2 linked regions of the Mus musculus genome follow. The protein of the gene in region 1 interacts with the protein of each later gene in a pairwise test. Links are inferred from orthologs where the notes say so. Each region holds a gene or a part of one and is shown on either strand. Other genes may lie near its edges. The genes, in order: Ralbp1 and Cep57.

Evidence for each region.
Region 2: the proteins of Ralbp1 (region 1) and Cep57 interact in binary tests that used the Homo sapiens proteins (3 or more experiments, as listed by UniProt). The two-hybrid records come from large-scale screens. The link is inferred for Mus musculus from reciprocal best matches to the Homo sapiens genes RALBP1 and CEP57.

What each region holds. Positions count from the first base shown.
Region 1 is NC_000083.6:65,844,521-65,859,895, reverse strand, and holds the end of Ralbp1 (ralA-binding protein 1), read left to right. Parts: intron 1-761; coding exon 762-923; intron 924-2,102; coding exon 2,103-2,234; intron 2,235-5,696; coding exon 5,697-5,804; intron 5,805-7,084; coding exon 7,085-7,206; intron 7,207-7,652; coding exon 7,653-7,776; intron 7,777-9,700; coding exon 9,701-9,946; 3' UTR 9,947-11,481; downstream 11,482-15,375. UniProt on the Homo sapiens protein: Multifunctional protein that functions as a downstream effector of RALA and RALB. As a GTPase-activating protein/GAP can inactivate CDC42 and RAC1 by stimulating their GTPase activity.
Region 2 is NC_000075.6:13,806,194-13,822,064, forward strand, and holds the end of Cep57 (centrosomal protein of 57 kDa), read right to left. Parts: intron 15,491-15,871; coding exon 15,334-15,490; intron 12,846-15,333; coding exon 12,666-12,845; intron 12,252-12,665; coding exon 12,130-12,251; intron 10,811-12,129; coding exon 10,694-10,810; intron 9,940-10,693; coding exon 9,862-9,939; intron 7,328-9,861; coding exon 7,217-7,327; intron 6,518-7,216; coding exon 6,440-6,517; intron 4,670-6,439; coding exon 4,434-4,669; intron 3,812-4,433; coding exon 3,667-3,811; intron 2,704-3,666; exon of another isoform or gene 2,648-2,703; coding exon 2,414-2,647; 3' UTR 1,595-2,413; downstream 1-1,594. UniProt on the Homo sapiens protein: Centrosomal protein which may be required for microtubule attachment to centrosomes. May act by forming ring-like structures around microtubules. Mediates nuclear translocation and mitogenic activity of the internalized growth factor FGF2, but that of FGF1.

The sequences.
Region 1 (15,375 bases):
TCCCCCTGCTTCTGCCTCCCGAGTGCAGGGACTGATGGTGTGCCCACTCTAATTTTTAATTGAAGCCCTCTTTTTGGTTGGCATGTGAGGTCCTGACCATATGTCATTGTAATTATTATAATTATATATATTTATAATTAATTATTATAAGAGGATGGTGCTTTCTTTTGCTAAAGATACTTAGTTGTTGGTTATGTTTTAAAAACAAACTGTTTCTTACATGTCTCGAATATCATGATCACCTTTGTTAGCCTGGATTTGGAATTAGTCAGTGCTGCATTGTTACTCAGTATTGCCCTAACGTGGGTGCTTGAACTACAGAAGCTCCAAGAGTAAGAGAAAGTCTGAGCCAGGCAAAAGCCGTCCTGCCCTTCTGGCTTCCTAGGATGGGAACATCTGGGAACAGTGGAGCTTGTGTGCTGGAGAGCTCTATACACCTGAAGGTGCGCCACCGCCCAGCTGTCTGCAGGAGCATCACTCTGTGTGGACGGGTCTCCGAACATGTAGGAAATGACCGTTGACGGATGACTAGAAAGTGCACATTGATGGCGGTGTGTCTTGTGCCCTTTCCCGGCTTGCCAGCTATACTGCCTGAGAACCTGACTCAAGCCGGGCTTTCACCTAAACTGATCATTAGTGAAGCCTGTTCTGTCCCCCGTGGAGACCTGCATAGTATCCAGAGTTAAAGGCTGCATAGTGTGACTGGCGAAGGTAAAGATCACTTTCATGGTCTTACGCACCTCTGAATCTGTTGTCTGCAGATCAGCAATCGGGTCCTGTACGTGCTTTTCACACATGTGCAAGAGCTCTTTGGCACCGTGGTCCTGAAGCAAGTAACAAGACCTCTGCGCTGGTCCAACATGGCCACGATGCCCACACTGCCAGAGACCCAAGCAGGCATCAAGGAGGAGATCAGGAGACAGGTGTGTGCTGCCCTGCCTGCCCCTGCCCCTGCCCCTGCCCCTGCCCCTGCCCCTGCCCCTGCCCCTGCCCCTGCCCTTCTCTCTCCTCAGCCCTCCCTGCCTGCTTCTGTGCTGCCCACAAAGGGCTGTGGAATGGAGGTGGTCAGCCCTAGCTTATGGAGTAGTGTGCAGTTCCTGTGTACAGTCCTCCGCCTCTTGTGTGCTGAAGTTGTGGGACCACACCCAGTTTTGTGCAGTGCTGAGGATGGAACCCAGGGCCTTATGCAAGTGTCTACCCACTGAGCTCTGCCCTTGTCCTGGGAGCATGTTCTTCAGGGCACATTTCCAGCTGTCCTAGTTCATATTGTGTGAGTGAGCTGCCGTGTTAGAAATAGCAATAGCATAGGGTTTTAAACTGTAAGAATTAGTTTCAAATTTCCACTCTGCTCATCTTCTTTTGACATATATATGAGTACACTCCAGACGAGAGCATCAGATCCCATTACAGATGGTTGTTGTGCATCCAGTGCTCTTAACCTCTGTGCCATCTCCTCAGCCCTCTGCTCATCCTTGACATGCTAATGTAAGGCAAATTGTTCAACCTCCTTAAACCTTGGTATTCTCATTTTAGAATGGATCAACTCAGGGAATGAATGTGGGGAATAATGCATGGGAAGGACTCAGCCCATAGCCAGGATCTCAAACATGTTTGCTTTTCTGGACAAAGTGCAACACGTTACCCATCCTGTTTTACAGCTAAGATACTGTGACATAATTCCTAGACTATGTAACCAAGATTAGCTCAAGCATGGAGCTTTTCCACTGTACTACTTTGGTATCTAGAAGAAACCCAGCAAATGTGTGTGTGTGAACACGCACAAGTGTGTCAGGGGAGGCAGAGAGCCTGAGACTGACTGGTAAGAAACTCAAGACCGAGTAGAACCTTGAGAACGCTGGTTGCGTTGCATGACTATTACCACAGGCCTGTTTTCCTTGTTGGCTGAGTTCTACTTACCAGTTGCTGTGAGGAGAGAAGGAAGAGCAAAGATATGGGCTAATTACTACTGAACCTCCAAAAATAAGGGACTGAGGTCGCTGTTGCTGTGCAGATCGAGAGCTGGGGGTCTTCATCTGAGAAACTGCAGGTGCTGCTGTCAGATAACAAGACCAGTGGACACCATGTATCCTTTTGTTATCTAGGAGTTCCTTTTGAATTGTTTACATCGAGATCTGCAGGGCGGGATAAAGGACTTATCTAAAGAAGAAAGATTATGGGAAGTACAGAGGATTCTGACTGCCCTCAAGAGAAAGCTGAGGGAAGCTAAAAGACAAGTGAGTTATTCTCTTACATCTTGTGTCTAATAAACCTACAGGAAGTGTGGATGAGCCTTCTGTACACTGCTGTAAGATATTCTTTTAAAAGTAGAACATACCTGTCTGTTGATGCTAAATTCTCTGGTGGGAAATTTATTCACACAAATGTTTCCTGCTTTGTGTTATTCATACTTTAGTGTGGTATAAATCAAATATTTCATTAAGTTTAGAAAGACTTTTTGTTTTTTAATTACAAAGGTGATCTTGTTATTTCCTGCCTGGTTTGTGTCTGTGGACAGAGCTGTAAGAGTGAGAGACACTGCTGAGAAGTTTGAGTTTTGAATGGAAATGCAGGGCTGGAAGGCCCAGGACGGATTCTGCTTTGCAGTCACTGGAGGGAAGAACCGTGTGGCCCTGCTGCTTTGTTGGGAGTGCACAAGGCCCACTTGTGGTTTTGTGCTACTTTAGTGTGTGAAGCTGAGTCTGGATTCAGTTTCCCAGTCACATCAAAGCTAAAATCCACACCTCTGAAAGGTCGTACAAGCCACATGCAGACCCAGCAGCAGATTGAGTAGCACAGCCTGCGGACACTAGTTAACACCTCTGGGACCTGGAGAGTGGAGCTGTGGGTCATTGTGAGAAGACAACACCTCAGGCCTTTTGCTTCAAGGATACGGCACTTGTTGAGAGCACAAGCCTGAGATCCTTGTAGCTGCACACAGTTTTCAATCTGGGAGGGAACCTTTCCTTTTGTTTTTCTCTCCAGCTCACTAAACTGTCAATCTTTTGTTTCCTCTGTCTCATGGACTCTTTTTGTTGTTGTTGTTGTTTGTTTGTTTTAATAAGATCTCATGTGGGCCAGTAGTCTCAAGTTTGTTCTATAGCCAAGGTGACCTTGAACTCTGGATCCTGCTGCCTCTGTCTCCCACATGCTGGATTATAGGCATGGGCCACCATGCTTGGCTTTGGATGTGTGCCTAAGTTTCCCAGGGCAGATTGCAGTTGTTGATCTAATTGCGTTGTCCAGCAGCCCTTATGTGAAGAGTCCGGGACATAGATGGATGTTTGGCTTTTGTGTCTCTTCGTTATGTGTGTCTGTGTTGAATAAAAGGACTCTAGCTGTGGAAACGGCTTAGTTGCTTAGTGCTTGCTTTTGCAAAGATAAGTACCAGAATTCAGTCCATAGCACTCGCGTGTTATGGCTTATACCTGTAATCTCAGCACTGGGAAGGCAGACAGGAGGTCCCTGAGCTTGAAGGCCAGATAGTCTAGAGGTCAAGGTTAAGTGAGAGACCTTGACTCAAAAAAAAAAAAAAAGTTTGAGAATGGATTAAGAATGACACCCAACAAAGACTTCTACACACGTGCACACAAATGTGCATACAAGTACATGACTATACTTGTTTGTGAGCACACACATACATATATCAGAGGCAGTGTGGTTGTATGACAAGGGACAGCTATCTTCTCTTTTTCCTCTTACCAATTGTATTCTCTCCCTGACCATTCCCTCTCCTTGATGACTTATTTTGTAACTACATGCTCAGGTTCCTTCATGCTGGCTTCTCTTTTGAGGGAGAAATTACTTAAAGAAGTATCATTCAGTGGATTAGTGACTGAAAATAAGAAAAATATAGCACCAGTTTAACCCTGATATCATCTTGGCACTTTCCCAAAAATTAACCATGTAATTATCAATCGTATAGTGCAGAAATTTCACTCAGCCATTATCCTCTAAGAGAAGCAGCCACAACCCATAAGCCTTCACAGAACATTTGCAGACTGTTCATAACAGCTAAAGCAGCAGCCCCAGAGCCCTGCAGCTGGTGAGAGGGTATAAAGTTAGGATGCATTCATTCCAGCCTCCCCATCTTCCCTCTGCCCTCACTACCTGTATCTCACTGGTGCGTGTTCACCCTCTGGGTGGTTCACACTCATTCACACACACACACACACACACATACACACCTCAGGAACAAACAGTTCCAGAGTCCTCCTTAACTCTTGCCCTGGGTCTCTGGAGGTTTCTGCCCCACGTTGGGCACCATCTGACCAAGCCAGCTCAGTCAGTCAACAAGTTCTCCAGGGCAAGAGCAAGGAGTAAAAAGAAAAAAGACAATTAGACAACATTGCAGCATGACCCCAACCAGCTCTGAGACTGAGGTGGGTTTATTTTTTACCAATCTGCTTTTATACCATTTTAATTACATGCAAGTAATTAGGTCAGTTCTAGGTTAAGGAAAAAGCAAGACAATAAACACAAATAGGCGAGGAACAAGCAAGGCAATAAACAAAGCCCCGGGATCGAAGTTTCTAGGCCTTATCAGGATGACCAAGATATCTGAGCCTACTTCCCTGTCCTAGTCCAAAGTCACATTCTTGCTTAAGCCTACTTCTTTGTTCTAGCCTAAAATCAGATTCCTGCCTGGACTTCCTTTCCTGTCCTAGCCCAAAAGTAGATTCCTACCTGAGCCTGCTTCCTTGTCCTGACCCAAAATTAGATTCCTGCCTGAAACCTACCTCCCTGTCCTGACCCCAATGTCAGATTTCTGCCAAGCAGCTCCAAAAGCTCTCCACAGTTCACACACTGGTTGTCACTGAGCAACTACTCACACCAGCATAACAGACAGAAGCATCTTAAAGCCAAGTATAAAGCTAGAGAGAAATGACCTGTTGAGCCAGTTCATCTGAGACCCGAGAGAGAAGCTGTTAGGATTGAGAGCAGGTCTGTGGTGCTGGGCACCAACAGATGGAGCAAGGGCAATGTTTCCTAACAGGGTGGTGGTGGTTACTTGACTATGTGTATTTGGTAAAATTAGTTACATTATGAAATTGACACCCAGTAGCTCCCTTCAAGACATCTCATGCAGTCAGGATTAAGGGAGCATATTCATCAGAAATAAGCATTTTTCATAGTGTAGCCACAGACCGAGATAACCATGTCATGGTCTTTTCTTACTTTAAAATGTTTATTCTTTGTGTGTGCGTGTGCATGTGGGTATGGACATGCAGTGGCACGAGTGTGGAAGTCAGAGAACAACTTGCCAGAGTCAGTTCTCTGCATTGTGTGAGTCCTAGGGAAGGCTTCTTGATACCAAGTGTCTGCCACGGGGCCACCTTGCAGTCTCGAACCACATCATAGTCTTTTATGGTTTGATTTGGTTTTTTCTTTTTGAGATGGGGTCTTTCTGTTGTCCTGGGTGTCCTGGAATTTACTATGGCCTTGAACTTCAAGCTAGCCTTGAACTCACATAGCTCCTCCTACCTCTGCCTCCTGAGTGCTGGGATTAAAGGCGGGTACCACCATCCCTGCTCTTACCTACAGTATATTCTAAGCCTAGTTAGCAAATGTCCGGTCATCATTACAGACAGTTCCCTACTGCTGCTGGGGTTTTCTTCATTTCTGTAATTTAAGAGGACCATTTGTTGATTGTGTGTTACATGTAGGCCGAACAGTTCATCATGTGTTGTCTTTGACAGGAGTGTGAAACCAAGATTGCACAGGAGATAGCTAGTCTTTCAAAAGAGGATGTTTCCAAAGAAGAAATGAATGAAAACGAAGAAGTTATAAATATCCTTCTTGCCCAGGCAAGCTATACCTTTTGATTTCTAAAGGGATTTATTGGTCATTTTTCAAATAGAAGCACAACTATAGACTTTTTAAAACCAAAATTGTAATGAACTCCAAAGAAGTTGTTCCTGTTCTGTGGCCCTACCCTTGTGCTGTGTGTGCTGAAATGTTAAGTGTGGAGGGAGAAAGAAGCTGCCTTCTGTTTAGCTTCCTCGTTTCTGTAAGTCGACATAGAAGTATTGTGGCATGTTCCTGATTTACAAGAACAGAAACAAAAACTCTGAGGAGAGAGAAGCCCCAGATGATTTTCTTAGAGTTTCCCACCTCAGCTTTCTTGGAGTATAACTTCATCCATATATGCTCTGAGGTAAACGACGAGGGTCTGTGTTTGAGCATGGAGAAGTGGCCTCTCTCACTCGGGAACTTTTCAGTGGTTCCTGGACTGTGCCCACAGTGCCCACGGTGCCCACGGTGCCCCTTGTTTGGAAGGAGTTGCTGGTGCTCTTGCCTCCAAGGCATCTTCTCTCTACTGTTTGCTCTAGACCCGAGAGCCCTAGCTGGAGTGCAGGCAGGGCGCTCTCCACATCACTGCTCTCAAGCAGTTTAGGAATGGTTAACCTGTCAAGAGTTCTTACTTTGATCTGAAGGGCGTGGCTGGGGACAGTGAGGGAGATCCTGTAACCTTTCCTTCTGTCTGTTCTGCCCCACACCTGACACTGGTACCAGCCACACATGCATCTCTTGGGTCCTGTTCCTAGTGATGCTGAAAAGTCACTGTGACCCTGAATCCTGAGAGACAGGAAGCCAAAGCTGATGAGTTTTAGATCATGTTTATTTGTGCATATGTATTGCACATACATGCATTCAGATCCCCCCTGGGCCAGAAGAAGGTGTTGGACCTCCCTCCAACAGATGGTTGTGAGTCCTTGATGTGGCTGCTGGGAGCCAGATGTGGGTCCTCTGGAAGAAGAGCAAGTGCTCGTATCCGCCGAGCAGTCTCTTCGGCCGCGAGCAAGGCAAAGCAGATGTTGCCTTTGGGTCCTCTGCCGGGGTGTAGGGGGCTCATGGGAGCCTTGCAGAAGCTACAGCTGGCCCTTGTGTGCACTTTGTTGTTAAGAAGGGTCTAGACCTTCTCTCAACGTGACTTGGTGTAGCTTTTCTTGATTCTGAGACAGTGGCATGGTTTTGTTGTAGTAACTTGTGTTCAGCACCGAGCAGGGTGACAGGAGAGGCTCTGGAGAGGTGGCATTTCCTCTAGCAGAGCTCAGACAGGTGCCACCCATTGTCATTGTTTCAGGAGAATGAAATCCTGACAGAACAGGAGGAGCTCCTGGCCATGGAGCAGTTCCTGCGTCGTCAGATCGCCTCAGAGAAAGAAGAGATCGACCGCCTCCGAGCTGAAATTGCGGAGATCCAGAGGTACAGGGGCCTCGGACTGGAAGCTTCCAGCCGGGTTGTGCTGTATATGAGCAGAGCTGAGCTAAAAGTTCAGTGGTTTTCATCTTCCTTGTGCATGGAGCCGTTAGCAGCCCCTCCTGTTGTGGTGACTCCAGCCATTACATTGTTTCCTTGCTACTTCATAACTGTAACTTTGTTACCATTATGAGTTGTAAGGTAAATACTGATATGCAGATGGTGGCCTTAGGCGACCCCTGGGAAAGGGTTGTTTGGCATCCATAGAGCTTGTGACCCACAGGTTGAGAACCACTGTTTTAGACATTCCTGGAAAGAACTGGGTTTCTGAAATCAGTCACTTTAAGCTCCTTACTGGGTCTTAGGCAGCACTGGGTCAGGTCGATGCTCAGGCGTGGGTGGGTCTTAGCCGGCCTCGGAGTTCACTGTAGTGCTGCCTCGTCTCCACACAGCCGTCAGCAGCATGGCCGCAGTGAGACGGAGGAGTACTCGTCCGACAGCGAGAGTGAGAGCGAGGACGAGGAGGAGCTGCAGCTCATCCTGGAGGACCTGCAGCGGCAGAACGAGGAGTTAGAAGTGAGTGGGGGACAGCCTCCAGAGGGTCTTGGGACCACAAACCACCTATTTTCTCACTGGAAACTTACGGTGGAGAGGAATTCAAGAACACTTGTTTTTTAAGATTTACTTTATTTAGATTTATTTTATGTATATGAGAAGTACACTGCAGCAGTCTTCAGACACCACAAGAGGGCATCAGATCCCATTACAGATGGTCACAAGCCACCGTGTGGTTGCTGAGAATTGAACTCAGGACCTCTGGAAGAGCAGTCACTGCTCTTAACCGCTGAGCCATCTCTCCAGCCCTCAAGGGCATTGTTAGCAGGATGAAATGTGTGCTCTAGGCTGTCTGGAGTGGGGCGTTTTCCCCTGACCTTGGTTACAAGTGAGCCTAAAAGAGGTGAGAGGCGCCTGGCCACTGTCCTAAGTCGCCTTGCAGTGGCTTTCTTGTAGTCTGTGGGGTACCACAGAGGAGTGGGTGTGACAGGATGCCTAGGAAGCTGGACTGAGAGGGAGATGCTGGCCTAAGCGGGGTTCTCTTTTCATCCTGAATAAACATTGTCTTCTGTAAGGACGACTAGGTAAACAGACACCTTTGCTTCATTCATGTTCACTGAACTGCCTGCCAGGCAAGTGCGCATGGGGTCAAGCACAGAGGCTGGGCGCGGTGGCTCAGGAGGCAAAGAGGGGCATTTCTGAGTTGGAGGCCAGTTTGGTCTACAGAGTGAGTCCAGGACAGTTGGGGCTTGAAAAACAACAGAAAGATAGAAAAACTACTGTGGCTGGAAAGATGGCTGAGCAGTTAGGAGCACTGGCTGTTCTTCCAGAAGACCCAGGTTCATTTCCTAGCACCCACATGGCAGCTCTTAACTGTCTAACTCTGGTTCTAAGGGACTCAACACACTCACACAGACATAAATAAAAATAATATTTTAAGGATTGCCCAGGACTCTGCTATCCACTGTGTGATAGGATCCAGGGACATGGCCCCACTGGTGAAGGGGCTGCAGTGAGGCTGAGGCCCGGAGTTAAAGCCAACTCCCTTCACGTGCACACACCTGTGTCACACACGCACCTGTACCCCTTAAGGGATCCCTGCACTCAGGAGGCAGAGGCGCACAGAGCTCTGAGTTTGAGGCCAGCCTGGTCTACAGAGTTGAGACCTTGTTTTGGAAAACATAAGAAAGGAAGTTAGTGTGAGTGAGACGGGTTGCTGGGAATTCTGGCATTTAGAAGACACATTGGCAACCTGGTTTGATCTCCATTTTCCTGAACAGGAACAAATGGCAGAATCGGGAGTGTTCTGTTGTGCACGTGGCGTAGGGCCTGCTCGAGCCAAAGCGGCTCCCCTGCATCTCGCCGTGTTCTCAGTTGGGGAGGGACGGGTCAGGGCTTCCCCAGTGTCACACCGAGCGAGCAGTGGGACTGGCACCTCTGCTCACCTCACTGAACCAAAGTCGAGTTGTGGGCACAGCTGCTTAGGATGCGGGGAAATCCCGAGGAAGAAGGGTGTTCCGATGGCTGGGGCGGTTGCAGGAGCTCGGGGTGAGCTACCCGTGAGTTCCTGCTGAATGAGTGAGTCCCCAGCATTTAAGCAGCTGTGGTTCCCACACTCCTCAAGGAGCACAATTCAGATGTGGTCAGTAAAGAGAGACTTTGACTTGGGAAGAGTCTCAGCTTTTACCCAGCCCTGGCCCCTGTCCTCACTGCTCTGGTGACACATCGTTTCCTAAATGTGTTTCTCTTTGTAACTCAGAGTCCATACTCAGGCATTCAGAGTGATGCTTGTACCCTAGCCACATATCCATCTTCTTATCTAATGCTGCACCAGCCAGGCTGGCTAGAATAGAACTAGATCTTTCTCAGGATGGCTTGCAGCCTGTGCTCTGCCTAGATTCCTTGTGCCCTTAAGTGGTAACTGCCCTTTCTGTCATTCTTTAAGATAAAGAACAATCACTTGAACCAAGCAGTCCATGAGGAGCGGGAGGCCATCATCGAGCTCCGAGTGCAGCTCCGGCTGCTCCAGATGCAGCGAGCCAAGTCTGAGCAGCAGCCGCAGGAGGAGGAGGAGCCCGAGAGGCGAGGGGGCATAGGCCCACCGCCCTGTGACGGTGTCCTCGAGGTGCGGGTAGCCAAGGAGCAGGCGAAGGCCTCGCCCAGCAAAGACCGGAAGGAGACGCCCATCTGAGCTGCGGGCCGGGCCCTGTGCATCTTACTGTGAGTGTGAGTGAGCCGCCTGCCTGCTGGACACTCTGTAAAGGCTCGCTCTCAGAGACGTCCCCTCTCACACACGTCTGACTCCGTGTCAGGCTCAGGGCCTGGGAGGCTGAAGCAGTGGACACACGGGGGGCTTGCAGGGAACACAGGCATTTCCAGATAGTGTCAGCTTATTTGAAAAATAATTTTCTTTGTTAAAAATAACTATTTTAACCTTTGAGTGGCTTCTTTTTAAACCAAAAATTCTTTTCTTTGGCTTTTTTTTTTTAAATCACAGCAGAATCAGGCTCTCTTTCTTATCAAAGGGTAGGAACCAAATCAGGTCACTTCTGCGCCTGCCTCGTGGACGCTCGTGGTCTCCCCAGCCCTGCAGGGTCTCTGGCCACTCTTGTTTGTGCCTTCCACACCTTTTGGTGCAGATTGTTCAGTGGGGAGCTGCCTCATATTCTCTGACTGGCCAGAAAGGCTCTCGCTGGGGTTCCCTGCACCACGTTGCTTTTCCACTTCCGAGTTGGGTCTGTCTGTGTGAGTCAGGACGGCCCAGGTTGGTGGCAGACAGAAGTTACCTGTGCAGCCTGCCACCAGCCTGGGCAGTGCAAGCCACTCACTCACTGCCAGGGATCAGCAAAGGCCTCTTCTCTGAGGTGGTCGGAGGTGACCACCTTGACTCTGAGGCGTTGCACAGGAAGCTTCTCAAACCAGAGCCCTTCTCCACACTGACCTTCCAAGAAAACCACAGTGACTTCAGCTGCTAGCTTGGGCTAGGATACACACCTCTGCCAGGATAAGCCATGTAAATGCTCTCACGCAGAACGTTCACCTTTCCGCGTCATCTCAAGGGGCTGCTATAAGGACTCTGACAGAACCGAGCCGAACCGGTAGCTGTGACTGACCCCACCTGGTGTTTGCTTCTAACTCAGATGACTGCTCCCCGAGTCTGGGAGGCCTGCCTCTTAGGCAGCCAGATCTCACTGTCAGATGAGTGGCCCCCAGGGAGGTCCCCTGTGGCTCTGAAGACAAATCCCACACTCTAAAGTGAGCGACAAACCCACAGGAGGGCTCTGGTCTCCTCCTAGTTAGTATTTATTTCAGCGCCTGTCTTTTGTGCGGTTTTTTGTTCGCCTCTGCCTATTGCACTGTTGTGACTTGTTGGCCATTATTTGATTTTTGTACGGAAAAAAAGCTTTGTTATAGAAATCAGCATACTATTTTTTTAAATCTGGAGAGAAGATATTATGGTGACTGGAAATATGGTCAGGTGTCAAATATAAATGTACAAACGCCTTGCTGCATCCCGTCCGGTGTACAACATCCACTTTATATTTGCTGGCAATATTGAAGAATTCTTTTTGTTTGTGTAAACTCTAATTTCTATCAAGGTATCATGGGTTTTTAAAATTAGTATTTCATTACAAATGTCTCGATGTTGGTTAACTAATTTTTGCCAGGACCATTATTGATCAAGGAAATAAATTCAACAGCCATTTGAGAAAAAAAAAAAAAAAAGGCTTCTATTGTCCACTCTTCTCTTTGAAATAATTGCATAGCCAGCATCTGGCACGAAGCTGGTGGAGATGCCCAAGGTGGAGAGCGAGTGGGAAGCCTTATTCCACCTCGCTCCTCGCCCATGCTGTGTGTGTGCTCCTGCTGTGGTCTCTTGGCCCTCTGCCCACCGTGCTTGCTGCTGACTGGGAGGGTTTGCTCAGACTGTGTGCAGTTCCTGAACCTGACAGTTTCCTGGTGCTGTTGGGAAAGCAAGCTCTGCCTTCTAGGTCAAGTCCAGAAGGCTTGGCCCAGTTGTTAGAGGTTACAGAGGTTTGCATTTTACATGTGAAATGAGGACTTAGAGCAGCTAGCATGCTAGAGATGTATGACAAACATCTGAATCTGTAGCTAGTAGTTTAACTGCACCACAGAATTTATGTTGCTTTACAGAAGGTTCCAGGTACCCTGCTGTGACATCTTAACTTCAGGCAGGGATCTGGAAATGAGGGCCCGAAGAGGATCAGCTCCCAAGCGGGGACTCATGGCTCTCACCGTGCTCTTCTCTGTAGGCGGCTCTGTACTGAACAACACCGGGCATGAAGTCCTGGGTATAGACCCTGGTGTCTATGTACAGAGCCAGGAGTGCTGGGAGCACCTGTAATTCTACCCTGGTGGAAATGAGGATCCTGTAAATGCTAGTTAGCTGCTCTAGGGGAGTCAGTGTGCTCTGCGTTCAGAGGCCAGCCCTGTCTCCAAAAGTAAAGCATAGTGATAGAGGACACAGATATCAGCTTTCTCATTTCACATGCCATGTGTGCTCATGCAGGCCTGTACACACACACACACACACACACACACACACACACACACACACACACAATATATACCCTGGCTGGTGACACACACACACACACGCACACACACACACAATATATACCCTGGCTGGTGACACACACACACACACACACACACACACACACACACACAATATACCCTGGCTGGTGACACACACACACACACACACACACACACACAATATATACCCTGGCTGGTGACACACACACACACACAATATATACCCTGGCTGGTGACACACACACACACACACACACACACACACACACACACACAATATATATACCCTGGCTGGTGACACACACACACACACACACACACACACAATATATACCCTGGCTGGTGACACACACACACACACACACACACACACACAATATCACACACACACACACAATATCACACACACACACACACACACACACACAATATATACCCTGGCTGGTGACACACACACACACACGCACACACACACACACAATATATACCCTGGCTGGTGAATCCAGCTGAAGACTGGGCTTTCTGGAACCTTCCTCCAGGTCGTTTTGCTAATGTTTTATTCGTCTGAGTATGATCTAAGCTTAGTTGATATTCTTCAGTAGAAACAAATCAAAGACCCCTATCAACTAGGTAGAGAGATTGTGATAAGATTACACATTTGTAAGATGATGCATAATTAGTAAATGGTTCTATACTGGACTTCAGGAGACCCAGGAAGTAAGGACCAAGTAGCAGGGTCCTTAAATTCCCATATACAGGCTCCCTCTGCAGAGCAGTAAGGTGCTGCTGCTGTGTCCACGTCCCCCACTGCCCAATTCCAGCCTGGATGCTTGTCCCCTCTAATCTGGAGTTTTGCCACCATTCAATTAGTACGACCCATGAAAAGTTGTTCTAGTTTGACAGAGGAAAGAGGAATAGCTTCATTTGCAGTGAGCTGTAGTTAATTTTTAAAACTGCTTCACGTCTGCTCAGTACCATGTCCTCTGGTGATGTCTTCAGCAAGGTGCAGGCTCCTGCCTCTCTTCAGGTGTGTATGTACTTCAGGCGAAGGGGCCCTGGGTGTCTGGTAGTGTTGGGGCTTGGGCTTCTCAACTGTGAGAAACGGCTTTCAGGGAGGCACAGGAAATACATAGCTTGCATGCTTCACCCCCAGTAAGCAATTTTATCCTGTAGGGCTTCATTTCTCATTGACAAAACAAAAATCCTCATTTCAAAAAGGAAGGTTTATTAGATTTAATCCCTAGTGTAGGGCTTTAAGGCATAGACGTTTCCTGAGGACATAATCTGCATATTGTCATGAAGCGCCAGGGCACAGGCAAGACTGCATCAACAGTTTATTTTGTGTGTTACTGTATGTCTGTTGTATGTCTATTGTAGGTAAGTCTATTACTGTATGTATGGTGTGTGGAGGCCAGAGGCTGACATTGGGTGTCTTTTCTTGATTGTTAATTAGTATTAAATATCTTTTTACATAGTAAATATATCTTATTTTTATGGGATTTCATATATAACATACTTTGATCCTATCACCTCATCCCTCTGTGTGTCTGTCCTTTTGTCGGTTTAAGAAGAGACTGTCAGACAGATGTCTTAGTCCTCTGGCTTAGACTATCCTCTTCCCCCGCTCCTGCTCACCAGCCTTCAGTGTACAAATCGTATTGCAGATATATTGATTGGATCAAACACCTCAGTCCATCTCTGCATATCACCAGCTGTGGCTTTCTGTAATCTCTGCCTGCTGCAAAAAAGAAGCTTTTGACAATCTGTGGTTATGGGGATGAGTTTAGAATGACCCTGGTGAGGGAAGTGGCTGCAGGCCATCTGGGCTCCAGGTCCTCATCAGGCATACGTGGTACCTGGCTGAGTTCATAGAGCTAGGCATGAATTCTCTACTAAGTGGGCCTTAAGTCCAACAAGGCGACTGCTGGCTACCCATAGGATGTACAAGCCATTACTTCAACATGGTCACTAATGTATTACAGCAAGATGGTACTGATAATAGCATTGCTGTGAGCGGCTTGCATGGTTCCATCCTGAGAGCCAGTCCCCAGCGAGAAGGCTTCCAGGTTAAATCCTGTGTTGGAAGTGTGTGGTTGCCTTCAGCAGTAGGGTTTTGTCTTTTTTTTCCTGGACGGCATAAACGACAACAACAAGGCCTGTATCGTTTGGGGATCTCTTGGACTGCCCACTGGCCAGCAACTCTAAAGGAGGCTCCCTGTGCCCAGCACTGAGATGATGTCTGTTAGCTGTTCTGTGTATTTTGGAGGAAGTGTCACTAATTGGCAAAACTTCCACTGAACTACATATGAACTTACATGTTTGTATGTTAACATAGATAATATACATAAGGTTTTCTGACAAAGTCTTTAGCTTAGCTATCCTAAAACTCAGAGATCCACCTGCCTCTGCCTCCTGAGTGCTGAGCGGCAAAGGTGCACACCACAGCTGGCTCTGTAATTTTGAGTCATGGTGCAATGTTGTCTGTAGCGTTTCAGTAGCCTTAGTGTTCGCTACCCCTTCTCCCTCTCCTGCAGGCAGGTCTCTATCCATCTAGTGTTTCCCACAACACCATCCCGTTTCTCTGGTATCTGATTACTCCAGGTATATTTGCATCTGAAGATTCGGAGCTACCATCTACAAATAAGAAAACAAATATTGTGTTTGTTTTCTTTGGGGGGGGCAGGAGCTCAGTATACTACTTTCTAGTTTTGCCCACTTAACCTGCAAGTTTAATGCTTTCATTATTTACAGTGGAATAGTATTCCATTGAGTATATGAACCTTACTATTCCTCCTGTTTCACATTGATTCGTCGGGACTGAGCTTCTAGAATCCTGCTTCCTTGCCCCTCCTCCCCCACCCCTGGGCACACATCCCTGCTGCCTAGCATTTTACATGAACGTGACCCAGGGCCAAGCTGACACTTGCCCAGCCTTTTCCAAATGGCGGCACTTATGGTCACTACAGCTTGAGACGAGAAACTAGTGTCTTTCCAATTACCCTGGGACTGGGGGTTCCAGCATAGTCAGGACAGGTGGATATGGAGGAAGAGATTCTCCCT
Region 2 (15,871 bases), on another chromosome or scaffold:
TATCTAAATGCTATTTGGCAAGTTTTAAGACAGTATTTTAAAAACTTAGAAGTCTGACTTTATGTGCTGTGTAAATCTCACATGGACACTTTACCAAAGAGCACTCTGCATGAGTTAGTCTCAGTGCCAGCAAGTAAAGCCTTGCTTCTCTGCTCACCCGAGTCCGGTGCTGGTGGGGACAGTTGACTCCTGGGGTCTGTTTTACTCTGTACAAGAGCCATATGTAATGTACTGTAACAAACGAGCTTCTTACCACTTGGTCTTTTAATTAAATGACTTCAAACTTTGTCCTTGTCCACAGTTGTCTAAAGTACCCTCCCCACCCCACCCCCAAAATGTTAACCTGGAATTATCCAATCCAATTTAAGCCCACCTGTCTTTGACACCTAAAATCAAACTGTAAAAAGCATTGTTCCGTAACTCATTGTTTGAACTGTAGTCCTGGTGTTGATTTTGGAATTAGTACATCACAGATCTCCTCTTTCCTACTTTTTTTTTTTTTTTGCTTATATATTTTACCTGGATATTGAGCCCAGAGCCTCACACTTGCCAGGCAAATGCTATACTATTGAATATACCCCAGCATACCCAGTATTTACAAGAATTGGTACCAAATAATTTGGTTGGTGTAAACTTAGCTATAAAAATTTTTTTGAGGAGGTATTTATGTTCCCAGCATTCAAGTAAGATTTCTGTAACAGTTCACTTTCCTCACTAGTCTGCTTTCTTCCCTGAAACCTTTGACCATCTTGGTATGACATCAGAGGGATGCTGATCATACGGTCACCCAAACGGCAGAGAAATATGTCACTCCAAAACCTTGCAATGTTTTCTGTGACCTCCAAGGAATCTTGAGTGTGGAATGTGCACACTAAAAGTGCTTATGTGGAGTTCAACTGCATTCCTGGTGTTCACACACACCCCAGTATGACATCAAGGAAAGCACTCCTTTCTTACGAAGCGTGGGATCCGCGCTGGCGTCTTGTACAGGATACAAGGGAGCTCTGCTGCAAGTGAACAAGAAACTGAAGCAGAATCAAAACCCAAAGCCTACAGTTGGAATCCAGCTGGAGACAGGTAGGAGTTACTATCCTCCAATTACTATTCTAACTAGGAGTTGGAGCCATCATCATTCAGATGACAGTTATACAGTTTACTGTCCTGAAATCCAAGGAATTAACACAAGTGGAACAGTTGGAAGTGGTGGTTGAGCCATGTCACCAGAGCAGTTTCTTACCTTCCTGGGGACTATGGACTCACGGTTGTCAGGTCATTGTTCCTGCAAACCTCATCAGAAAACTGCACACACAAATTTATATACAATTTCAGGTGACTCATGAAGCTTAAAAATCTATGTTTCTAACTAGAAAATTCACCAAGTGATAGGGCCTTCTGGTGCCCAAGTAACAAACAATTCATGCTATTCAACTTAGTAGATGGCTAGTATGTTCCCCAGCCTGTCTGAACCATTCAGGAACACTGAGCTTGGTCTCTGTAAGCACAAGGATGACAAGCATGCCTCAGATATTCTCGTTCCTCAATCACGATACTAACATGCACTTTTTGAGTTTGTATGACAAATAAAGCCTTTGTTAGCTGGCTGTTAAGCAAAGTTTAAAAACTGCTTTATTGATTTGAAGTACCAAATTTATAAAGATTATAACATGTCGATCTACTCAAAGTTAAATAATTTACATTGGCATGATAGATGTGTGTATTCAATTCACATACTGTATGCTAAAAGCATGAGCTTCTCTTAAGTCAAGATTAAACAGTGCTTAACATGATTACAAATAGATACTGTCTAAAAACTGTAAACGTGTACATTTTACAATACCCACGTTCTCATTCTTTATTCCAAAATTTCATTTACTTCAGTAACAACTGTTTATATAGTTTTTCTGAAGACATTGTGACATATTTCATGGATAACTGACTTAAGTGAATTTATGATTGATCAATGTCTAAAATACCAAAGCAAAACAAAGTCTTCTTGAAAACAGTACATTTAATGGTCATCTGGAGAAGGGAGAGTAGTGGTCACTTCATGCTGTGGGAAGATTTAAAAAACAAGACTTCAAGCACTGACTATGGGGACTATCTCATATTCTGAATTTTCAAACCCAATTTACATATATACCTAGTTTAAAAAACACACCCATGAGTAAAAAACTGGTCATTTGTTTACAAAGTGCAGTGAATGAGTACAGCAAATTCAAAGACAGTGAGGCTTCTCTGCCGCAGAACTCCATCTCCATCAGTTGTGCTACATAGCACAATAGACTGTAATGAAGCTTGGCCCCTAACACCTGCCAGTAATGGCAGCTTAGCAAGCATGAGACCTGGAAAGTCTGCTCATGTCCAGTACGTACATCGTTTATGACCAGTGAGGTACATCATTTATGACCTGGTGTCAGTAATCCCAACACAGATTACTGCTCTGCAGTGAATTCTGTATGGTCTGCATGTCCTTCAGTAACTGAAGATTTTTCCTGCTTTTTTCTCCAGGTCTCTGTTTGGCCAGATCCTTCTTACTTGCGGTCCTTGGGACTCCAGATGAACGACCGCTGCTGTTCCCTTCTTCATCAAGAGTCTTTTTGTTAGCTTTTAATTCCTTCTTCTGCTTATCTATGTTTTGTTTCTCCAGCTGACCAAATAATCAAAACAGGGAAAAAATGAATTCAATAAAAACATTTTCTTTTAGCTTTGTTTTTGATACGAGGTCTTGCTATGTTCAGTCTTAAACTCTTGATTCTTCTGCCTCAACTTCTTAAGTACACCATTGACTTAAATAATCTTCCTCTAACACTCAAGTGATAGATTCTAGGTGGGTTTTTTTAAAAGCACATAGATCTGCAGAAGTTATAAATCACATATGTAAAATACACAGCCAGGTAAATAAGTGCTATATAAATACTGTAAAAGTCTCCTTAAGGAGAGAGGGACAGGCTTCGAATTCTCCCTGCTTGACCAGACTGTAAACTCTAACAGCTACTAGTTAGTTGTCAGTCCAGCACCAACAACCACACAGGATCTCCTTGGGCAGGTTATTTCATTTACTGAGATAGTCACAGTTACTTCACCTATAAAATGGGTTTTAAGGAAATGAAGTGAGATGGCATTCTCAATATACTTGATTCTGTGCCAGTGAAATAGTTCTTCCACATCACACAGCATTTGGAAGCTTGAGAGGGATTTTTTACTTCTAAAACCTACTTCAGAGTTGTCCACTTCTACCCAGACTCCAATTGCTGTCAACCCAGGAGCTGGACTCTACCCCTGTTCTACCCCTATTTCACAGCAATCTCAAATACAGTCTGTTTCTCTAGATGAGAACACCAAGTAGGCTTATTAAATGTGAGTAACCCTTTTCCTTTTAGTCATTATTTAGTATGAGCAAACATACTACTTTTTTTTACATATTTAATCTGACTTTGAAAATTAAAAATTCTAGCTGTATTTTTAGACAATTTAGTCAAACTAAACCACTTAGTTTTGTTCATAAAGCCAAGGATATTAAATATAGTCAGTAAAGACACATCTTATATGAAATATAAGAACTAACACTTCTTAACACAGACTGTTAGGAAAATCTCCAGAAACAGCTTAAGCATCATCAATTAATATACATGAAGGGGGAAAAAACGACAGAAGGGCAGGAGTCACCTGGGCTTGGTATTTTCGAACTTTAGTTATCTGATTGGCCTTCGCTTCCATTCTTCCCACTAATGCCTCCAATTCACACTCCAGGTTGTCTTTTAGTTCCACAGTTGGTGATTCCTGTATGAGTTTAGTAAGCTGCTGATGATCACTGCATACAAACCACAAGGGAGACTACCTTCAGTTCCTCATTTTTAAGTTATGTCCTTTATATTTCACTATGGGATTCACCACTCTTAAAAAATAACTCCTTTTAACAAACTGCTGCTCTATACATGGGTGGCTCATAACCACCTGTGACTTCAGCTCCAGGGGCTCTGATGCCCTCTCCTGGCCTCCTTGGGGACCTGCACACATGTGATATATACATAAATAAAAACAAAGGTTTACAAAAATGAAGATACATGCAAGTATTCTTAATCCCAGACAAATTTGGGTCCATCCAGGGTTGCAGGCTAATATAAACTTTTATCTGCTTCTCCCATCAGCATCACTTATAAAGTAAATCCTCTGGGACACTGGCTTTCAAACGCTGTCCTAACTCATTAGTTATATTTGGATAACCCTCAATACTACTGAGCTTTTACCTAAGCCTTGGCATTTGACATCTAACAAAATAGAAAGGGAGGCTTGTTTAACTCCCAGCCAGTGGGCTGGTGTAATGGCTATGTTCAACATCAGTGAATAAAATTAGGATTAAAAATCCAAGCTGCTAGAAAAAAATGAGATTTTAGAACTAAATGTAATTTTAAATTCAAAAAGTCAAAACTCACAAGCTCATTTGCCCAAATTCATCCTGTAAAGTCTGCAAGACATCCGAAAGTTCTTCATTAACACTGCTGGAAGGAGGCACCACTGACTTCTTACTCTTACTAACTCGTGAGCAAGCTTGCTTTGCCAAGGGAACACTGTTAACAACTCGATCATTGCACAGGGCTTTACTGTGGTGTTTCATCAGATGCAAGACATGCTGAACATTGGCTACCACGGCATGGCTGGGACTGGTGGACTAAAGAGAAAAGTAAATCAAGCAAATAATGTCCTTGATTGCCAGGTTCTAGTTTGTAACCCGAGTAAGAGTTCATCTCTAAATCCTAAGGCATAAATGTACTATACTGTGGCAAATTGGCAACTAGCCATCCACCTGTATCAAACACTTGGCTGATGTACTAACGTCTTCAGTTAGTAATGAACACCCTGCTGGGGATGTGGCTGAGTTGGCAGGTACTTAAGGAGCATGTAAGAGTAAGAGGCCCTTCTTTGGTCCCCAGCATCATATAAATTGTTGCACACCTGTAATTCCAGCACTTAAGAAGGCAGGAGGACCAGAAATTATTTATCCTGTGCTATAGTGGAGTTCAAGACCACATCTAAAATCAAACAACCCAACTGACCTTCTTGCCTCTTGTAGGAAGCGCTAACGTTTATCTGCCACAACATAAAAATACAATAAAACTTCATAGCTTTCTTGAACTTGTTTCCAATAGGAAATAACAATTCCAATAGTTGGCTGGGCTTGTTTAAGCTCCATAAGTCACCAGCAGACTTAACTTGTTTAAAATGCAGATTTAGGGGAATAACTTAAGACCTAATGTGCTTGTTGTTTAAAAATGTTTCTGTATTATTTGTTAATTTGTCTTGGCTAATTGTGGTGGGGAAGAATCATACACGCCAAACTCAAATGAGGTGATCCTAGGAATGAAAAGGTGGCCCATGACCATCAGAAAGAGTGAATACTCATTACTTGCCAGTAAAACACACACACACACACACACACACACACACACTCTCTCTCTCTCTCTCTCTCTCTCTCTCTCTCTCTCTAATGGCCAATGTGTATACTTTAATATGCAATGAACAGATTTTAAAAAGTTTTGTTACTGTTAGAAGCTCAAGTAAACAATTGTGTTTTCTTAAACTTTTGGAATAACACTTCTAAAGAATATATAAAACAACTTCACATTAAAGAGCCTTGTCTTGCCCTTTGTGATTAAAGGCTTCAATGACAATTTGCCAAGACAACAAAATGGGTGGAAAGGACTCTAGACAAGACTGGACAATACAAAGATGAACCAATTGTCAAATGGAATAGGTAAATGTATAATTACAGATTTAAGCATACCATATAGGGACACCATGATGGTTGCTGTACAAGTGTTACGATTTAAGTTCTATCTACAGAACCCATGGTAGAGAGAAATCCCATCAGGTTGTATCCTGATCTTCACATGTACAGGGTCAAAGTGCCCCAACTCCCCATTTCTTCACATTGAAAACAAAGTTTGTAATAATCACAGAAATCAAAAAGTAAGTTTGTGTAAAAAATAACTTCACAACTGTACTTATAAAGGCTTATACAAAGACTCAAGAAAAAAACCTTAGGCTGTGCCTTCTACAAGGTTTTACTAGAACTACATATGGTGGCTCACATCTATAATTCTAGCACTCCCAAAGCCGATGCAGGATTTTTCTTTTAATGTCCCCTAAAATGTGTTTTCTGAAGACTGAAATAAGGTCTGAAAAAATGTCTCAACAGTTAAGAACACTGACTGCTCTTTCAATGGAATTCCACGTTCAATTCCCAGCACCCACATGGCAGGTTACTCTAAGCTATAACTCTAGTCCCGGGGGACCCAACACCCTCTTCTGGCCCCCGTGAGTACTAAAACAGACAGGACACACAGACAGGCAAAACACCCATATCCATGTTTAACAGGAAATAAAAAAAGCTAAAGATACTGAAAATATTTTAAACATAAAAACAATAGCTACAACTCACCGTTCCAGCAACAAAAGGCATATCACCTAAGCACAATCTGTAATGTGGCTGTGCACCAAAATAGGTCCTAGAACCTTTCTGGATGGAGAAAAAAGAAAATCATTTTATTTTATTTTGGTGAGCTAATCCAAGACTCCAGCTCACTGTGGAACTACTGGGTACCTTGGTGTACCACTCTTTTTTTTCCTGCAGAAACCAGGCTTCAAGAAGTTACTTGGCCCAGAGTTTAATAAGATAAAACTCATTATGGAAAAAGCATGGCAACCATAGGTCTGGGAATGGGTGTGTATTCATCACACTGTACCATCAGTCAAGAAGTAAAGATAGAGGACAGGAAAAGGGTCAGGCTAAGAACCTCAAGGCCTACTTTCCAGTGATTTAATAGGGGACGTTTTATATTCAAACCACACTTGTTTATATTGGGATCGTATAGTGCTGGCTGAACAACCTCGTTTTACTTGAAGGCTAAGGAGGTTGTGGGGAATACTAACAAAACAGATGCAAGAATTAAGTAGAGGAACAAAGCATTTTAAGAGAAAGGTAATGAATACAGGCTGAATATTTTTAGTATTTTTATGATCTTCTATGGTTCCCAATTTTCATATAGGTCCTCAGAACCAAGGTAAGAATTCATGAGTAAATCTTACTTATCTTCACCTTTGAACATGGAAACTAAGAATGAGAGTTACCTCCTAAGGTTCTAATACCACACAGCTTTGAGTACTTTTTACACAAATTTTTACACAAAATTGGTACTCTGACTGATTGTTTTCATACCTTTTCTGGTGGTTTTGACTTCTTTTTTTTTATTTTTCTAGTGCTGGTTGAAACACATGAAGTAGTCTTATCTTCAAAAATAAGTCTATTTGCTTCTAGACCACTCTGTAACTAGAAAAAAATAGCATAGAGTTAATGATGTAAAATAAAAGCTACAACTCACATACGAGGCACCATTTAAGTCTGTACAATACAGTAGTAATCATTTCAATGAGACAGCATGGATGTACTGTATGTCTTTAGCCTCTCATTTATGTGAACTGCTAAGCCACAGTTGGCTATGTACTGCCTGGAAGCACTGTTTCACTACTGGTAGGTAGTATGCAAATTCTAGTTCAGAAATTAAATGGAATGTACACAGCTCCATTTAATGAATGAATGACAGCATGCTATGTTCACTTTTAAAAGCATGATTACCGTAAAAGTAGACCCAAAGCAACTCAAGAGCAAAATAGATTCCTTCCTGTTTAATGCTCAAAAGTAGCAATAATTATTTCAGCAATCGTTATCTTTTTAGTAGAATTTCTACACTCCTCTGGGCTGGAGAGACTGATGGGCTTAGGAGCACTTTCTGCTGCTCCCATCAGAGAAAATGTTCCCAGCAACCCCCACATGGTAGCTTTTAACCATTTACTCCCAGGTTAAATGATCAAGAGGGTCCAGTACCTCTGGCCTCTGCAAGCATTGTACACATGTGGCACATATACAAAACATGCAGGCAAAACTCCCAAATACTTAAAGCAAATCTTGGGGGGGGTGGAGGGAGACGCAAATTCCTTCAAACTCTCTGTCAATGGCCATTTTGTCTCCCTATATAACAAAAGCCTGGAGTTTGGTAAAAATTCCAACCAGCAGATTTTTTTCTCTAAAGTGTTTACAATTTCTACACGAGGCAAAGCTCCCCAGAAGTTATGACTGAACTTTAGGGAACAGCAGAAGTAATGAATGAAAAACAAAGAACACCGAGCACCCCCTCCCGTCTCATGCATGCTTAGGACAGGGTCTCCCGGCAATGGCATGCCAGCTCTCCACCCTCGGGAGCATGGCAGCCTTGCTCATACTTTATTAATAGTTTATACGAGACCTAACTCCACAGGAAATCATCCTTACAGTGTCAAAAAGTGTCAGCTCTAACAGAAACCCCTTAAAAGTCACTTTTCGATTCTATCTTATCTATCTAGTTTTCCTTGCTGATTTCTTTTATGTATGCCTGAATTTTAAAGTACTTTTATTATCATTTCTCGTTTGAGTTCACTAGCACTATAAAACCCAGGCTCTAGATGGCTAAATAATCTGTTTTGGATTATACAAACCGGAACCAACAAGATACAGAAACGCATCTGCCTTCCACTACCATGGCATTCACCATCACAACTCAAACTTGAACAATTCATCAATCAATGAGTCTGTGAAAATTTCTATTTGGCATATAAGGGCTATACACTAAAACTGAATAAAAAATTACCCATGCATATGCATGGTTACATTTAAGGAACAGAAACACAGTAAAATAGTTATCTCTAAAGTTGGAAGAAATTCTCTAAAAATCAAAACTGTTTAAATGGCCATTAACCCAACAAGTACACAGAGAGTAAATTTACCAATCTTATCAATTTTAATATAAAAGAATCAATGACTCAAAGAAGCTCCAGAAAAAAAACTGCAATGTTTCTATTCCTACAACCGCATCTAGACACAGTGCCACAGACTCAACTATCAAGGCTCTACCAGTAACTTCAGATATCAGAACCTGCTTCTATGGGTTACTATGATGAAAGTTACATACATTGTAATAATCTTAAAGGGTTGGAAAAGAGAGATTATCTGGAAGATATCTGAACAAGTAATCAGAGAAAAGTCTCTAGCCAAATCATAAAACAATTTTATCTTGTAGAGTCTAAGCAGTACTTTATTATTCTTGCAGTATCTTTGATAATGCAGTTCTGGTTGGAATACATAAACTGATGCTTTCAATCTACACAATTCTACCTCCAGTGGCTGGCCACAGATTTCAAAAGTAGGAGAGAGTAGAGTCCGTTCTTTTGCTAGGGCAGGCTGCTAGCTTAACAAGTCTGTCCTGGTATGTTAACAGTTTTGTTGCTGCAGTGCTGAGGACTGAACCAAGTGTCTTCTGAATGAATGCCAGGCAAGCGTTCTACCATTCAACTTTACCTCCAACCCAAGGCATACTTTATACTGGGTACTGAACGAGCTAGTAGTAGCTCATCAGACCTTAGCTTTACGTGACTACTACTCTGTCTGACCTGTTTTTACCTCGCACGTACATTCTAATTTACATGTATGGATGTTTTGCCTGCGTTTATGTATGTACATGTGCCTGGTGGCCAGGGGTTAGAAGAGTCAGACACTATGGAACTGGAGCTGAAGATGAGTGTGAGCCACATGTGGGTTGTGAAGACAACAAAATGTTCTAATCCTCTGCAATCCCTCCGGCTCCAACCTCAAAGGTTTTTAAAATACTAATTCAGACTCTGCAATTTGAAACATCGAAAGAACTGCTCAAATTTTACTTTGTAGATTACATTCCTGATTTCCATTCCTAAACTATCTGAGTCTCCACATGAATGTGCTGTGCTTGTGTGGGACTGTCCTCCATTAAAGCACTGGTCCCTCCTTGCACTCACCTCTGCTGCCCGGGCCTGCATCCGCTTCCTTTCCTGCTCTTCTTCACGGAGTTTGGACTCCAACTCCTGCATCTTTTTCTAGCAATAACAATATCAAAACAGGAACGGTTAAAAGTATCTTTTTGTAGAATTTTAAGGACAGTTAAAATAAGCATGTTAATCCAGGTGTGGTGGCACACTCCTTTAATCCCAGCACTTGGGAGGCAGAGGCAGGCAGATTTCTGAGTTCGAGGCCAGCCTGGTCTACAGAGTGAGTTCCAGGACAGCCAGGGCTACACAGAGAAACCCTGTCTCGAAAAACCAAACCAAACCAACAACAACAACAAAAATCATGTCAGTTCATGCCACTAGTGGTTCAGGCCTTGATAATATCCCTACCACTTGCCTAATAGTGTTCTATTAGATCAACTAACAGTAATTAGTGAGGTAGGTGTGAGTTAAGTGGCCAAACTCTGAAAGAAAATCTACAACTGAAATACACAGGTTGTACAAAGGTAAAGACTACATAAAGACAAATCAAGATCTTCACTCAGTAGTATTAATTATCTCCAGGGTAAAACACAGAAATAAAATTAGTTCAGAAAAAAATTACATGATGCCAGATTTAAGTATCAAAAAACACTTTACCTTTCAGTTTTCAAAAAAAAAAAAGAACTACCTATCCTCAGCCACCAAGACTGAGGAATCTCAGCATTACTTTTCAACTGATCTTTTTCTTTTCAAAGAATCTATGTGTGAGAAAGACCTTTACGTTATAAATACCCATGTTTATGCAAACAGTGACAGCCACAGCATTCTACATCAGTAGGTAAAAGTCATGTTACTGACTTACTTCTGCAAGGGCCTGCATGGCGGTGAGTTTGTTGTATTCCTGTTCAAGAAGATCCAGTTTTTCCAGCTGGCTCTGAACATGGGTTTGATCATGCTGCCGTTCTCTTTCTAGAGAAACCTGAGGAACAGCATCAAGGTAAGTTGCTAACTTTACACTATAATATGATAACTGTAAACTGTAGGCTCTGCACACAGCCACATCATACTATATGTAATTTGCCTGTCCTTTCAGACTTGCTGATACGGAAAGAAGTTCTAGGAATAGAACATTAAGACCTCAAGGGTATCAATGATCTCCGTGTCTCATTTTGTTTGTGTGCCACGCACGGCATGCCTTTGAAGGTCGGAGGACATCATATTCAAGCTGGTTCCCTCTTTTTGCCATGTGGGTCAGAGGGATCAAATTTGTTCTTCAGGCCTCACTGCAAATACCTTCACCCACTAAACTATCTCATCAGCCTTGGAATATAATTCTCAACATACAGTATTTTACCTAGTATATGCTTTAATATAAGGAAAATATCCTTATACTCTAGACTAAGGAGAATTTATTAGACATACAAACTATGCAAATACACAAGTACTTCTAGTCAGTTGGGTCCTACTAAGCAACCTCTTAACAGATATGAGAACGTGTATGCATTTATTTACTTTGAATACAGATATATTCTTTTTTCCTCCAAATGTAGGGTCTGATTTGGAAAGACTGTCCATATACTTAAGGAATGAATCTCCAAAAAAAGAAAAAAAAAAGGGCAAATACACTAAATGGTTATATTTGTAAAAACCCAACATTAAGAATCTGAGTCTGCCATTTCTGCACATGTCCATGACAATGGGGAATTACACAAGAGAAATTTCTAATCAAACTTTGCATAGTAAAGTTAAATTTTTCATATGAAAAGGATGTTTAAAAAATATAATGGACACTGATGTTGTAATTGTCCTCTACAAATGTAGCAAGTTACTTAAAGACAAAGACTTTGATGTAACAAAAGAGAAGTATTTTGTTAAAATGTACAATTGGGCAATAGCTCATTTGGTAGAGTGCTTACCTAGCGCAGAGTATAATGTATAACACCATGTATAATGCGCTCCAGGTGATCCCTGCACAGCAGAAATGAGCCAGCCTAGGCATATGAGATCCTCCTTCAATAACCAAATTACTTATAAGGTATTTTTTTTAATTGCAAAGAATTCTACAAAAAACAGTGGATCTCAGTGGTACATATGGTTATTTGCTTATTAATAATGCAGACTCCAAGACATTAACATGATTATCTTTCAAACAAGCACAAGTCTACCAAGTACAAGAGTCATAATCAATAGAGCCAATCAAGCCACGATCTACTCCACTGAGGCCAAGAACTTACAGTATAATAACAGTGCCATCAGGCCTCTGTCACCATTCTTGATTTCATCTGAGAGGTGCCGTACCTGCTTTTCTAACACAGATGTCCTCTCCATTTCTGCATGCTTTATCATATTTCGCATGTATTCCAATTGTTTTTCTAGAAGATTACATTTATTTTCTGCAGCTACCAACTGGGATGCCAGTTCTAAAATGAATACATACAAAAAAGTAGTAATTAGTTAAGACAGTCTTGTCCCAACAGCTTGTAAGCAGGAAGTGAACTTGCAGTAAATTCATGGGGCATAGGTAAGGTTCACGGTAGAGTGCCTGCTCGGTATGCCAGAGTACCACAAAAGAAAACAGCAGCCCTCCCGGCCTTCAGCCTCTTCCCTTTCAGTACTCCTCAAAACCTTTCCGGACGACTTTAGGATCTTTCTTACTTGCGTCAAATATGCCACACACTGCCAGTAAGCACTATGCACGACGTCACTTGCTCCTCACAATACACATGATTATGATGTAATTCCTTACCAGTGACCACTACAAAATACCAATGTGGAATTGTGAACTAACTTACAGTATTTGGATAGATTTTAGTTTCCTTTATAATTAAACACACCTTGATTGTGCTTTGATTCTTCATTCTTTGAGTTCTCCCTCTCTTGGATCTGTTCATCCAATACTTTCTTGTACTCAATGGTTTCCCTAGACAAGGTTTTCACACTTTCTTCTGCCTGAATCCTTTCCAGTTCCAGGCGTCGAATCTTATCTTGAAGATTCTTAAGAGCAGAAAATATGGCTGACAAATATAAAAAGCATACCGCACCTTAAGTTAGCTATGCACACAGAGAAGTTAACCAAGAAAGGAAATTTTGTGTTGGCAGATTCTGTACCCCAGGATGACCTCAAAAATCACAGTAACCCTGCCTGAGCCTTCGAAACGCTGGGCTAGAGGTATGAGCCAGAGCCCAGCTCTGAAAAGAAAGCTGATGTAAGCCAAGCAGCAGAGCACTTTATTCACAAAGCATTTCCTGCTAAAGTCATTTCAAGGCATCATCTGAATTCTTTAAAGTTCTACTAGTTACTCAAGTAAAAATTAAACAAGAACCATCACTGTGTTAAAACCAAAAACCTTGGCTAATTATACATAAATTAACAGCTGTTCTAAGGTACTTTGAGTAAAAAAAAAGCCCCCATAGGCTTCTATTCTGGTCAACAGGGAGTGGTCCTACTTGTTGGAAGAAATGTCACTAGGGGTGGGCTCTGAGGTTTCAGAAGCCTAAACTAGGCCCAGTCTCTCTCTCTTCCCGCTACGGGTTCTACTGCTGTGCACAGACACTATAACCAAGGCAACTCTTATAGAACAGTCCCAAAGAACATCAATGTTGTCAACCCCTTGGCCTCTAGATGATGCACTGAATTCAGAGCCACTATGGCTGTCCACATAAGACCCTAAAAAAAGTGTCCTAACATTGTCTCCTGGAAGGTGAGGCTCATAGAGCTTACCAAACAGCTCAGGAGGCAATATAGAAGGCCCTCTTCCTAGAGATTCCTCAGAGGTTGATAATTACTGTCAGTTCAGGGGAGACTCTTCATTAGTCACCTGTAAATTGCCCATGTTCATGTGAAGAAGCTCAATAAACTTTTACTTCATCAAACTCATCTTTAATAGAATCATCTTGTGGTGGTTTGAATATGCTTGTCCCAAGGAGGAGCACTATTAGAGTTGTGGTCTGACTGGAGTAGGTGTGGCCTTATTGAAGGAAGAGTGCTACTTTGGGGGTAGGCTTGAGACCCTCCTCCTAGCGGCCTGGAAGCAAGTCTTCACCTGGAAGTCAGTCTCCTGTTTACCTTTGGAACAAGATGTACAACTCTCAGCTTATCTTAGGGTCTTAGTGCTGTGAACAAGCACCATGACCAACACAAGTCTTATAAATGACAACATTTAATTGGGGCTGGCTTACAGGTTCAGAGGTTCAGTCCATTATCATCAAGGCAGGAGCATGGTAGCATCCAGGCAGGCATGGTGCAGGAGGAGCTGAGAGTTCTACATCTTCATCTGAAGGTTGCTAGCAGAATACCGGCTTCTAGGCAGCTCCAATGAGGGTCTCAAAGCCCACACCCACAGTGACACACCTACTCGAACAAAGCCACAACTTCTAATATTGCCATTCCCTTGGCCAAGCATATAAACAGCTCCTCTAGTGCCACACCTGCCTAGACACTGCCATGTTTCCTGACATGATAGTGGACTGAACCACAAAAAAGAAAGCTAGTCCCAATTAAATGCTGTCCTTTGGACAAGAGTTGCCTTGGTCATGGTGTCTCTTTCCAGCAATGGAAACCCTAACTAAGACTATCTCTTTGGTCTGTTGTTGATCCGTCTCTGAGGCAAGCAGACATTTATTTGTTCATGTATCCCCAGCAACAAGGACACAATAGATATCACAGTCTTTTTGTTATATGAACACACAAGTATATAAGTATGCGCATGGGGGTCAAATATGCACTTGGTTACCGACTTCAGGTAACACATGTTTGTTCAGCCAACGTCTTTCACAACTGAGGCTCACTGATTAAAGCTATGTTGGCTGAACAGTGAGCTCCAGAGATCTAGCTATCTGCCTCTGCCACAAAGCATGGGAACAGAAACTCTAACCCTAACCATAAAGGTCCTAGGTTAAAAATAAATAAAGTATTGGTTTCGTTTATTCTTTGACACCTTTTTTAGGTCCTATTTACCACTTCCTCTCACACTCTCCAGGAACACATACATCCACTCAATGTCTGTCCTCTTTAGAGAAATAGAACGCAGAGTCCAAGTAGTGCTTTCTACAAGATGACCCTTACTTTTTACAAAGGTATTTATTCACTTAATGGGTATGGATGTTTTGCCTGTATATATTTTTCTGTGTACCCTGTGCATAAAACTAGTGTCAGATTCCTTAGGACTAGAGCAACAAACAGTTGTGAATTGCCATGAGTGCTGGGAATTGAACTCAGGTCTTCTTGAAGAGCAGCTAATGCTCTTAACTCCTGAGCCATCTCTCTGGCCCCTACCTGAGACTTTGGTTTCTGACTGATTCTGAAGATGACAGACTAGTGATAAGTGTCTCAAAGTACTTTAGGTTCCATGATTTGGTGAATAATGTTCAGCAGTCTACATGAAAAGCACTCAAAAGTAAAGGGGAAACTTATACTGTTCTAATATAAAAATAACATGTCATAGGTAAGAAGTTTCAACTAATGGGTGAACAAATAGCATTTACTTTGTTACAGTTGATTACCTCTGCTGTTGCTTTCCGGATAGGCAAATGTGGGCTTATTTGGGGAGCGTCTCAGATCACTGTTAAGGAAAGGCTTATCAGGTGGATACAATACATATGGAGACGAAGAATGACGAACCATATTTCCATTAGACCTTGATGGTTCAGCTAGGACGCTCTGAAAAACAAAATACTGTAATTATCTTTCAAACATTTAAACCAAATACTCATGACTGAGAACCCAACCACTATTTATTGTCAAGATATATAATTTTTAGAATTAAATGTTTACCTATTTATACATGATCATACAACCTAAATACAAATATTTAGGCAAGTTAAATCTTTGTTTAGATCAGAAACAGATACAAATTGCTGAATCACTCAATCATCGGTAAAGAACACAATGTTTTTATCTATTACTTGGGAATTTCACAGCGTGCACTCCCGTCACTCACTTCGTCACTCACTTCCAAGTCCTATGATGCCAACCCCCCCCCCCCCAACCCTCCTTGTGAACTGCCTAAAAACCTATTCACTGGAGTATGGTCAAATTCCC